Linked DNA regions of Xenopus tropicalis. Each later gene encodes a partner of the first gene's protein in a complex. Links are inferred from orthologs where the notes say so. Each region holds a gene or a part of one and is shown in the gene's direction. Other genes may lie near its edges. The genes, in order: txnl4a, prpf31 and lsm6.

The links.
Region 2: txnl4a (region 1) and prpf31 share a complex: the UniProt entries of both Homo sapiens proteins name them as parts of the U4/U6-U5 tri-snRNP complex. The link is inferred for Xenopus tropicalis from reciprocal best matches to the Homo sapiens genes TXNL4A and PRPF31.
Region 3: txnl4a (region 1) and lsm6 share a complex: the UniProt entries of both Homo sapiens proteins name them as parts of the precatalytic spliceosome. The link is inferred for Xenopus tropicalis from reciprocal best matches to the Homo sapiens genes TXNL4A and LSM6.

What each region holds. Positions count from the first base shown.
Region 1 is NC_030682.2:96,976,827-96,980,584, forward strand, and holds part of txnl4a (thioredoxin-like protein 4A), read left to right. Parts: intron 1-2,459; coding exon 2,460-2,563; intron 2,564-3,638; coding exon 3,639-3,758. UniProt on the Homo sapiens protein: Plays a role in pre-mRNA splicing as component of the U5 snRNP and U4/U6-U5 tri-snRNP complexes that are involved in spliceosome assembly, and as component of the precatalytic spliceosome (spliceosome B complex).
Region 2 is NC_030683.2:104,952,545-104,956,202, reverse strand, and holds part of prpf31 (U4/U6 small nuclear ribonucleoprotein Prp31), read left to right. Parts: intron 1-1,260; coding exon 1,261-1,321; intron 1,322-2,181; coding exon 2,182-2,265; intron 2,266-2,471; coding exon 2,472-2,569; intron 2,570-3,172; coding exon 3,173-3,279; intron 3,280-3,363; coding exon 3,364-3,533; intron 3,534-3,658. UniProt on the Homo sapiens protein: Involved in pre-mRNA splicing as component of the spliceosome. Required for the assembly of the U4/U5/U6 tri-snRNP complex, one of the building blocks of the spliceosome.
Region 3 is NC_030677.2:58,334,959-58,338,716, reverse strand, and holds the start of lsm6 (U6 snRNA-associated Sm-like protein LSm6), read left to right. Parts: upstream 1-1,292; 5' UTR 1,293-1,379; exon of another isoform or gene 1,380-1,556; intron 1,557-2,963; exon of another isoform or gene 2,964-3,150; intron 3,151-3,744; 5' UTR 3,745-3,758. UniProt on the Homo sapiens protein: Plays a role in pre-mRNA splicing as component of the U4/U6-U5 tri-snRNP complex that is involved in spliceosome assembly, and as component of the precatalytic spliceosome (spliceosome B complex).

The sequences.
Region 1 (3,758 bases):
TTTGCATCCGGTCATTTTAAATACGGCGATACAGCGATCTTCCCTCTGCTCAATCCACTATGCGATAATCGACATCTCCTCTTAGCCTTACTTCTGTACAGGCAAACCATTGACTTCCGGTTTTGGAGTCGGGCAAGGAGGAGATGTCGATCGTCGCATAGTGGATTGTGCAGAGGGAAGTTCGTTGTATTTGAAATGACCGGATGCAAAGTTTTGGAAGGTATTTTGTAATAAAGCATTCAAAATAATAAACGGTGTTCAGGATAGGGCAATTATTGGAGCAGGGTAGAATAGATTTTTTACTTAAAAAATACTTTTCCTTTAACAAACAACATATAGCTTTGCAGATTTAAAATTCATCGGGGTTGTCTACTGGATAATACATACAAACTTCAAAAACCTATACAAAATTGTTTGTTTTTATGTAAAAAAAAATAAATACTTAAAAAATAAGTCATAACACCTTAAAGAATCAGTAACACCAAAATTTTAAATCAACAAACATTTCATTTTACTGCATTATTTACTTTTTTGCATCTTGATTTGTTAACTATGCTATTTAAGGGCGGGTTGTCTGTATATTTAATATGGCTGCGGGTAAAGGATCCCTTATCTAGGAACTAGTGATGTGCAGGCTGACCCGGTACTTGTGGGTTGGCCTGGTTTGGGCAGACCTCAGCAAAACATTTGCGGGTGGGTTCAACCCAGACATCACTATTAGAGACCCATTATGAGAATAGCTCCAAATTACAGAAAGGTCATCTCCCATATTCCCATTTGTGATTGTTTAAAATGGTTTCCTTTTTCTCTGTAATAATAAATTAGTAGTTTGTACTTAACTAAGCTAAGGTAACTAAGCTGCATGGATCCATATTAGTGGTAAAACAATCCTATTAGGTTTATTTAATTTTTCAATTTATTTTTAGTAGACTTATAGGGACAGTATACACCTAAAACACTTAAGTTTAAAATGAACACTGTAAGACTGACTGTAACAATGAACACTGACTTGTGTTGAAATTACAGTCTGCTTATTGTTTAAATTAAAAAAAACCTCACATTTTCCTTTTTTTTGTAATTATAAAGCATTAATTTGAAAGTTAAGGTGGCCATACACGAGGCGATTTCGCTCGTTGTGCGATGAACGATTATATCGACAAACGATCGTATGGCGATCGAGTTCCCATACGATATGCCATCCACGGGCAACGATAATTCGGGAAAGATTTTGTCGCATCATTATCGTAAAATACCTACGATCGTACATCTACGTACGATCGATGTCGTTGCTGGCAATCGTGACATGCGCAGAGAACAATCGTTGAAAGACAAATGTCTGACACTCACACCAACTGGCAGATTTTATCGTTAAACGACCAAAATTTTTAAACCTGGCCGATCGATTTTGGGGACGATAATGTCGGCTCGTTTAGTGGGCCGACGATCGTTCGTACACCACCAACTATACGATAACTTAACGATAGCATCGGATCGTTCGGGAATCGGTCGTTTGTAAGTAAAAAATCGGTCCGTGTATGGCCACCTTTAGGCTATTTTCACAGTATTTACCTCCCCACTTACTTTATAAAAAGGCAATTTGTTCCCTGTCTACCATTGAACAAACAAACCCCTCCCTTTTTTAAGTAACTCATTAACAGGGGATTCTCAGTGGACTGAGTTTTTTATATTCTTTATTTCAAGCAGAAATGGGGTACAGAAAGGAAAAAGGGTTAGGTAGGTTAAGATAAATAGTGGACTGAGTTTTATGAGCTCCTCTGAAATTCTGTGGGATCAGGAAATATTAAAATGACACTGGCTTCATATTCTCGTTTAGTTCCAGAAATAACAGAAACCATAGATATTGCTTATTTAAAACAATAGGCAAAAAGTTTGTTCAGCACAAGCCCTAATTGTTGAGCTCATGTTGAAAAGGGGAGTGTGCTGTCCCTTTAAGGCAGTGATCCCCAACCAGTGGTTCGTGAGCAACATGTTGCTCCCCAACCCCTTGGATGTTGCTCCCAGTGGCCTCAAAGAAGGTGCTTATTTTTCAATTCCTCACTTGGAGGCAAGTTTTGGTTGCATAAAAACCAGTTGTACTGCCAAACAGAGCCTCATTTAGGCTGCCAGTCCACAACGGGGCTACCAAATAGCCAATCTTAGCCCCGATTTGGCACCATCATGAACTTTTATGATGCTTGTGTTGCTCCCCAACTCTTACTACATTTGAGTGTGGCTCACGAGTAAAAAAGGTTGGGGATCCCTGCTTTAAGGTATGGTGATCCAAATTACTAAATGATCCCCTATTCAGAAATCATCCGGTACTAAGCATGCTGGATAAACAGAACTACATTTTTCCATAAGATATATGTTTATTGCTAAAACTTAATGCAAATCTATTCTAGAAATATTGTGTGTTGCACTTAAATACATTCATATACTACTTCCATTTTGTTTTGTAGGTTAAAAACTTTGCTGTTATTTATCTTGTGGATATCACAGAAGTTCCAGACTTCAACAAGATGTATGAGTTGTATGACCCTTGTACAGTGATGTTTTTCTTCAGGTGAGATTGCTTGCTTCTTTACACATAGTAATTTCATTTATTGAACTATCTAGGAATATTCTCAGTTGTACTGTCATTTTTAATCTAAGCCCATTTAACGTATATGGTACTGTTTTACTTAGAACAAAACAGAATACATTTGCAGAGGTAATTGGTGTGGCAGTTTCTTTTCTAACATATATATAATCAGAAAAAGAATATGCTGTGTTCACAATCAGATATGAGTGGACTATTGTCTGTATATATGCCAGTAACCTGAAATGTAATTTCATTTATAACTATTTGTTAATATTTTTTAATAAGTTGTTTCAGTTGGTGTATAGACACAAACATTTATTAGCACTAATAAAATGTCTTTCTAAGCTAAGAGAGACAGTTGGTTACATATAAGTGAATTTTAGGGAATCACCCCACCTGGGATATTAAACTACCCAATACCCCTTGGGGAGGTAATCTATAAAAACAAATTTGGTGTATTGGCCAATAATACACATTTGCCAGCCAATGTTTATTTTTTGGTTGAGATCAACCCTGTATGTTCAATGACTGGTGAATGCCAGGATGTCAGTTACTGCCCTCTGGATGGTAGCAGGCCCATACCAGCATTTTCTCCACTGTAGAAGAAAACTCATTAGCTTATTTATAAATGTATTCTACAGGAAACATTTGCAAGAATAAGGAGACAAGAGAATCTGACGTGTAAACCTTTTGCACCATAATGTAGTGCTTTATAGCCATTAGCAGAGTGCATGTGCTGCCCATTAGTGTGAGCAGTGTGCCCCAGTGTGACAGGCTTGTGTTTTCACTAAAATCTGCTCCATGTGTCTGCACCTGGGTTGAAGCTGTGGCTCTGGGTGCCAGCACATGGAAAGGATGTTTGGAGCATAGGGGCTGATTCTTAGCCTGTGTTTATCCGCAGGCCGAGAATCCGCCCCCTGTGGCTGTAGCTTTACGCACGCATTTTTAAAAACATGTACATACAAGCATACAGCCTACAATCAGGGGCATAACTAGATATTTATAACGAGATTCTTTATTTCCAGTCATTGCAATGTATATTTTCTTTTTATACCAGAAATAAGCACATCATGATTGATTTGGGCACTGGAAACAACAACAAGATAAACTGGGCAATGGAAGACAAGCAAGAAATGATTGATATTGTAGAAACAGTTTACAGGGGAGCACGAAAAGG
Region 2 (3,658 bases), on another chromosome or scaffold:
AGCCTAAGGATGGGGCAACTGTATTAAGTTTTTATTTCTGGTGTTCTATCTAAAAAAAAAAACAACTGAACCAAAAAATATCTAATGTTTAACTCTTGAGACATATTAAGAGAATACAGAACTTACAGACCCCTCCTCAAAATACTTTGGTACATTGCTGCAAAAAACAGTGTAGTAGTAAGAAGTGATCTTTTATAGTGCTTAAGTCCATATGAAAGAGGTCTATATGCACAAATAAGCAATTTGTCAAAACATCGTGAGATAAAAAGTAGGAGGATAAATTCACAACCTGTTTCCAATGTATGCGAGACAGGTCTTGGATACCCAGCAAATGGACTAATGCCTTTAATGGTCAATAAGGATACAGCTTGCAAAAACATGCATTCCTTTTTTTTCAGTTGTTTTTTTTTTTTTTTTGTCCACTGATGTCTCTACTATTGGTTTTTCCACCACCGCATTAAGGGTAGGGGTGCTATTTCCTTGCACTCTGATATTCTATGGAAGCATTTTGCAGCAATAGCAAGTATGTATGGGTTAAGTATGTGCCAGCTTTGTACTCAGATGACACAGATCAGATATCTGCCATAGATTCTCTATTGGATCAATATCCGTTCTTTAACTGAGCGTTGTTTCTCCCTCCCCTCATTACATCCTTCTGCTCTACATTAAATATGCAAAGTTTCTTTTGATGAAAATCAGGCCCACAGCAGGATTCTGCCACCAACAAACTTCACTTTAGGTATGGATCATCTTACAGTTGAGGGCTACATTTGTTGGCAAGTTACTAACTTGTAAAACCTATAGCTAATCTGCCTGGAAGAATGGCTGATGAATGGAACAGTGTACAAAACTGGCACCTACTTACCCACAAACACTTATGGGCAGATGTATCAGAATGTGAGATTAGAACTCACCAGAGAAAAATTCACACACTTTCTCTTCATTCCTATGGGATTTTCGTAAGTGCATCTATCAAGTGGTGAACTTTAACTTTCACCTATTAATCTAAAAATCACATAAAAATGAATAGAAAGTGTCTTAATTTTTCTTTGGTGAGCTCTAATCTCTCATTTTGATAAAATTGCCCCTTAGTGCTTTCTGTGCTGCAAAAAGTGGTTCTAACACATATTAATGTGTGGGGTTTTATTTTTTTCTCTGATATATATTTATAAATGAAAACAAAATTTTTAAAATGATGGAGCAAAATGTCTATATAGTCTGTTATAACCACATTGTGAAATAAATGATGCATTTTTTCAGTTTTCAGAAATCCTTTTAAAGATTGACGGATACATCAAAAAGCAACCAAAGGCTTCTGAAGGTATCATTTAAATCATGGCATTAACTCCAAAATTTCAAGCCAGAGTACCTAAAATATCTTCAAATAATTTTCATGTGGACTGTTAATAACAGAGACAAAGAGTTACCAACCGAAAAGGATTGCAATATAAAGAAACTCACATTGTATTGTGCTGTAGAGTGAAAGGCAGCTGCATGAGTTTGTGTGGCTTTAAGGGAAAGATATTATAATAATTCATGTTTTGGTGTGATGTTAATGGTTATTGAATGGGATGACTTATTCTGCCTCACTCATGCCTGAAATTTGAAATATCCATAACCCTGGTATACAAAACAGATTGATGTGGAGGCTAGACTTTAATTGGTATTTTATATTACATGTTTTATTACACATCTTTTCAAAAAAGTGTTCTTCGTTTTTAAATCTAAACTGCAGTTTTCCCAGTTATTAAAAAAGAGATGAATGATGGCAGACTGCAAATTATTGTATATTGCCAGTTCTTCATATAAAAAGGTATAGTTATAAATTGGCACAGTGGTTAATTTCATTACTTTCTCTATGAACTCATTGGTTTGGCATACTGCTGTGTTTCATTAAAGTGACACAAGTAAGAATTCTGGAAAATATAAGCATATTCAGACTAAATATGCCTGTGTTTGTTTTATGATTAGCTTCCCGAGGAGGCGTTTATGTAAATGAATGAATGCTGTTACTCATCGACCTTCCATTTAGCCCAGTGAAATTAGCAATATATGTGATCTATTGATGTAAACTGGTTCAAACAGCAACATTGCATATAGATTCTCAAACAGAAACAAAGCAAGAATGTAGTTTTGACTGCACTGGTAATTTGAATTTTATTCTGTTTCTATTTTTTTTAGTAATGGGCCCTGTTGAAGCTGCTCCAGAGTACAAAGTTATCGTTGATGCTAACAATCTGACTGTGGAGATTGAAAATGAGCTAAGTAAGTGCATCTGACTGTATTCTCCGTGTTGGTAGAAAGTGCAATGTTTCAATAATCTGAGGTGATGATTTAGTAAAATAAGTGCTACATTTATGTACAACCCTTTTGTATAGGAAACTGCAGATACTATGTTAGAACATCTATAGCACTTGTGTACAGTATATATGGGAGTGTACGCTCTTAAAACCTATATTATATCTTCTTAGATATCATTCACAAATTTATTCGGGACAAATATTCCAAGAGGTTTCCTGAGCTGGAGTCCTTAGTTCCTAATGCTTTGGATTATATAAGGACTGTGAAGGTAGGTGATTTGTGTGCATGAGGATACTAAGTGGTTAGTTTGTGTGTCTTTCAGTAAGGGGGATTGTATTTTGTGCATGTGTGTATATAGTTATGGTATAATGGTGATGTCTGGATACACAGTGTGTAGTATAACAGTATGTAGGAACATACACTGAATAGAGAAGGTAATTTGTATAAAGATTTATTAAGCTGGACCCAAACTTTTCTTAAAATGTTAAATGAAAAATGTATGAACCATAAACATATATGGGGTACATGAAGTGACAATAAACTTAGCATTAGGTGACATCAGTAAACTACTTATGGCACCACTTTATGAACTTTCACATTTATTTTTCTTCAGTTTTTAGGTTAGCTTGGGGCCTAACAAAATCATCAGTATTGTGTGGGTTTCCCCTAGGTACTTTGCTTTCTTTTAATACTGCAAAGACATACAAGGAGGGTAATTGGTTCCTGATAAAATTGACCCTACTATGCCTGAAACTTATAGGGACCTTAGACTGGGACTGATGAGAATGTATATTATCTCTGTAAAGTGCTGCTGAATATGTTTACGCTATATAAATATCAAAAATAATAACATCTTATTTGGGTGTTGTAGGAGCTAGGGAACAATCTGGATAAATGCAAAAACAATGAGAATCTTCAGCAAATTCTGACCAATGCAACTATCATGGTTGTAAGTGTGACAGCCTCCACAACTCAGGGGTAAGTTCATATATCTGTTACTATACTATAACTTTTTCAGTGTTTGGGATGAAAATAAGAAGTAAGTTCCTCTGATCTACACAGGCAGCAATTAACAGATGAAGAACTGGAACGAATTGAAGAAGCGTGTGATATGGCGCTAGAACTCAACCAATCCAAACACAGAATTTATGAGTATGTGGAATCTCGTATGTCATTCATTGCTCCTAACCTCTCCATCATTGTCGGGGCCTCCACTGCTGCCAAGATCATGGGTAAAGTGTCATAGTGTTTGTTTTTATTTTAGCCAAGATTGTTTTATATCTTCACTCTTCTGCACAAAAAAATCTGTTCTGTAAACCATTGGCAGAACTTTAGTAAATAGATAAAATGCTTTTAT
Region 3 (3,758 bases), on another chromosome or scaffold:
GTTACGCTCACAGAGCGTCTCCTCATCCCCTATGTTTGCATGGGTGGGTTCATGGCAGTTGCAGGGCAGATTCAAGTTCTGGATGTGAAAGCTAGTTACCCAGCAATTACCAAATGAATGAAAACAAAAAAAAAAAAATATTGTATAATTGTTTATAGTTATAAGCAGAGAAGACCTAAACAGCAATAAAGACAGGTATAAAGTGACAATTTAGAGGAGTGAGTGAGCTTCCCCCACACCATGCTTATAAACAATTTGCAGGATTTCCAATTTGGTGTCAGTCACTGGCCTCTTGGTGACTGCACATATATTTCTTAAGGTGCCCACACACCTTCAGATCCGCTCGCTTGGTGATGTCGCCAAGCGAGCAGATCTTCTCCCAATATCCCCCACCTACGTGTGGGCGATATGGGGAGAATCCAGGCTAATTCCCTGGGGCCAAACGATCGCATTATAAAGACGGGTATAGGTGAAGTCGTTCCAGGGACCGCATCAACGAGCTGATACGGTCCCCGATCCAACTAGATTTTTTAACCTGCCCGATCGATATCTGGCCCAATTTCAGGCCAGATATTGGTCGGGCAGGCCCATCGGTAGTGCCCATACACGGGCTGATTAGCTGCTAGAATTGGCCCGTGTACAGGGACCATTAGGTGCCATGACATTCACCACTTTAATAAGGATATTTGCAAATACATGGTGTACAGCAGGTAATGAATCAGTAAAGATTTCAGATGAATAATACCAGGCTCCAATTGAATAATGTCATGCCACACACAGCTTATCAGTATTAGTAATCATTTTTGATGCTAGTGACATTTTGTGTGGCTGATTAAAGTAAACTGACCCTTCAATCAGAAAGGATTATATGGGAAGTTTCAGAAAATCAAAGTAGCTTACCATAAGTAAAGTGCATGTGCCTGTATAAAATAGATACAAAAATAAATATATGTAAAATAAAAATACGTATACATTTGCGTCAACTCAAAGAAATGTATTACGTTTAGCAAGTAAGAGTAATGCTGAATCAGAACACGTTTTTAAAGTTGGAGGCGAGGTTTCTTTACTAGAATGACTTATAATGGCATGGTGCAGGGATTCAAAGCCATGAAACATACAGGATATCCCAGCCATTACTACATACAAGAGGTGCAGAGGAGCCACAGCGCCGCCTCTCGCCCTGATTGGACGCATCATTTCCCGTGTTAACGTCATCGTCCCCTTTTGACCCCCGGTAGGCGGTGCCTCATTCAGGAACCCGATTTACTTCCGTACGGCGCACACGGCTTTCGCTTGTTTTTGGATTGTCCTGAGACGGACACCGTAAAAAGGGGTAGGAAGGAGAGAGGCGGGAGAAAAGGCATCGCACGGGATACAGGGTGAGAATTACAGGGTGGCTTATGGCCGCCTGTAGTATTTGCATTGATGCACACCATCTAGTATGGTTAGTGCTCATTACGTTCAGAGAAAAGTAGGTAACAACAATAATTAACCTAAATGTGTGGCTCCCGCGGTGTCTATGCGAAGCGAATTCTGGGAGTTGTAGTTCATCCCAGGTGTGTGGCCGCTGCATTACATTGGGATTGTATTATGTATTGTTCAGCTATAATGTTTCGAAGTAGATTTGCTACAGGCACCCTTTTCTTGATACATATTTGTATTGCTCCCGGCAGGTGGGTATTGTAATTCCTGAGCAATATACTGATTACCAGCAGGCTGTACTAGAGGGGCTCAGTGCCAAGTACATGAGAGCTCCTCTCACAGGGGCTGTATAGATCTCCCTGCTACATCAGAGGGATGGAGCTTCTTACTTATAGATTTAGAATCATTTGTAAGTTTAAGCCCAGCTACAGTGTGTCAGTGTTGGGCTCTAGCCCTAATGTATGTAAGCCCTAATATATCTATGTTATCAGTGAGCTTTTCCACTTAATATTTTATTCTGGCAGTAACCAACATGCTTGAGGCTGTCACTGACAGATTTCCTCTGCTCTAATTGGCTGATACCAGCATGAGTCACATTTGTATCAGACTGCTGACAGACACCATGGTGGATATGTTTGTACAGGTATGGGATCCTTTATCCGGAGACCCATTATCCAGAAAGCTCCGAATTACGGAAAGCCCCTCTCCCATAGACTCCATTTTAATCAAATAATTCAGATTTTTTAAATTGATTCCCTTTTTCTCTGTAATAATAAAACAGTACCTTGTATTTGATCCCAACTAAGATATAATTAATCCTTATTGGATACAAAACAATCCTATTGGGTTTAATTAATGTTTTATTGTTTTTTTAAGTAGACTTAAGGTATGAAGATCCACGTTACAGAAAGACCCCTTATCCGGAATACCCTTGGTCGCTAGCATTCTGGATAACTGGTCCTATACCTGTAGTAGGAAACGTTTAGGCTGAGGAAGCACAGTATTTCTTAGAAATGATAAGAGACACTGAATAAAAACCTTTGATAAATACAATAATATATCAGGGAATTTGAGGACTGTGGAGTCGGTACATAAATCCTCGGAACAGTAACACAAAAAATGAAAGCATATAAAAGTAATTAAAATATAATGTACTAGTGCCCTACACTGGTAAACATTGTGTGTTTCCTTCAGAAACCCGAATATAGTTTATATAAACAAAGCTGCTGTGTAACCATGGGGGTAGCTGTACAAATTGAAAATAAGAAGAAAAGACACAGGTTACATAGCAGATAACAGATAAATTGTGTAGATTACCATTGTACCATTCTAAAGCGTGCATCTGTTATGTAACCTGTGCCTTTTCTCCTTTTTTCTAGCTTGAATGGCTGCCCCCATGGCTACACAACAGCTTATTTATATAAACTATATAGTCTTACTGAAGCAAACATGAAACTTTTACCAACACAGAAATACCCAATCTTAACCCGCCTGCTCCCAACCCTACCCGACCCAGCTTCTTCCCTTTATTTATAGACCTACTCCCGACCCTCCCCGCAATGACATCACGAAGGGGTGGGGCATGTCGGGCGCGCACCTATAAATTCCCAAGCTGGAATCGGAATATCAGCATTGTTAGGTCTCGGTCATGGAGGCTGACCGGAAGCACTCAACCCGAAGCCCACCCGCGACCCGCAGGTGATGTGCCAAGGTCGGCCTGACCTGCAGGTATTGGGCCAGCCCGCACATCAATAGTGCCCACTCCTTATTCTGCTGTAGACACTGAGGAATACAGAGCCTCCAGTTAGCTGTGATTTAACCCTGTTTTAACTGCTTTGTCTTCTGATTTTTTAGAACACATCTCTTATAGTGCTTTCCTGGCTTTCCTTTTAAAGGCTAGTTAAGACGAAGATATTTCTAACCAACTGCAGGCGAATGGATTGTCATTGCTGTTGGTTAAATTTGGTGGAATAGTTTAATAGAAAACTAAAGTTTAACATTTCTAGCCTGCTTCTTTTAGAGTTTAGTGTTTGTAGAGTTTATATTCTTTAAAATAGGACTTATACTCCACAATGTTTGCTGTGAATTCTGGACCAAAGCGGCAGTCTATTTGTATACCATATCATAGTGCAGATTTGCCAGTTCTAATGCACTAATCTGTGCTGTTAAATCATCAAACTGACAATAATGACCAACTGCAACTGATATAAAAATGCTGGTCTGAAAATGTGAATAATATATAATATCTGTAAAGCACTGAGGAATATGTTGGCACTATATAACAATAAGAGAATTATTTTGTCTTGAAACCTTTCTTTACAGTGAAAGGGAATTAG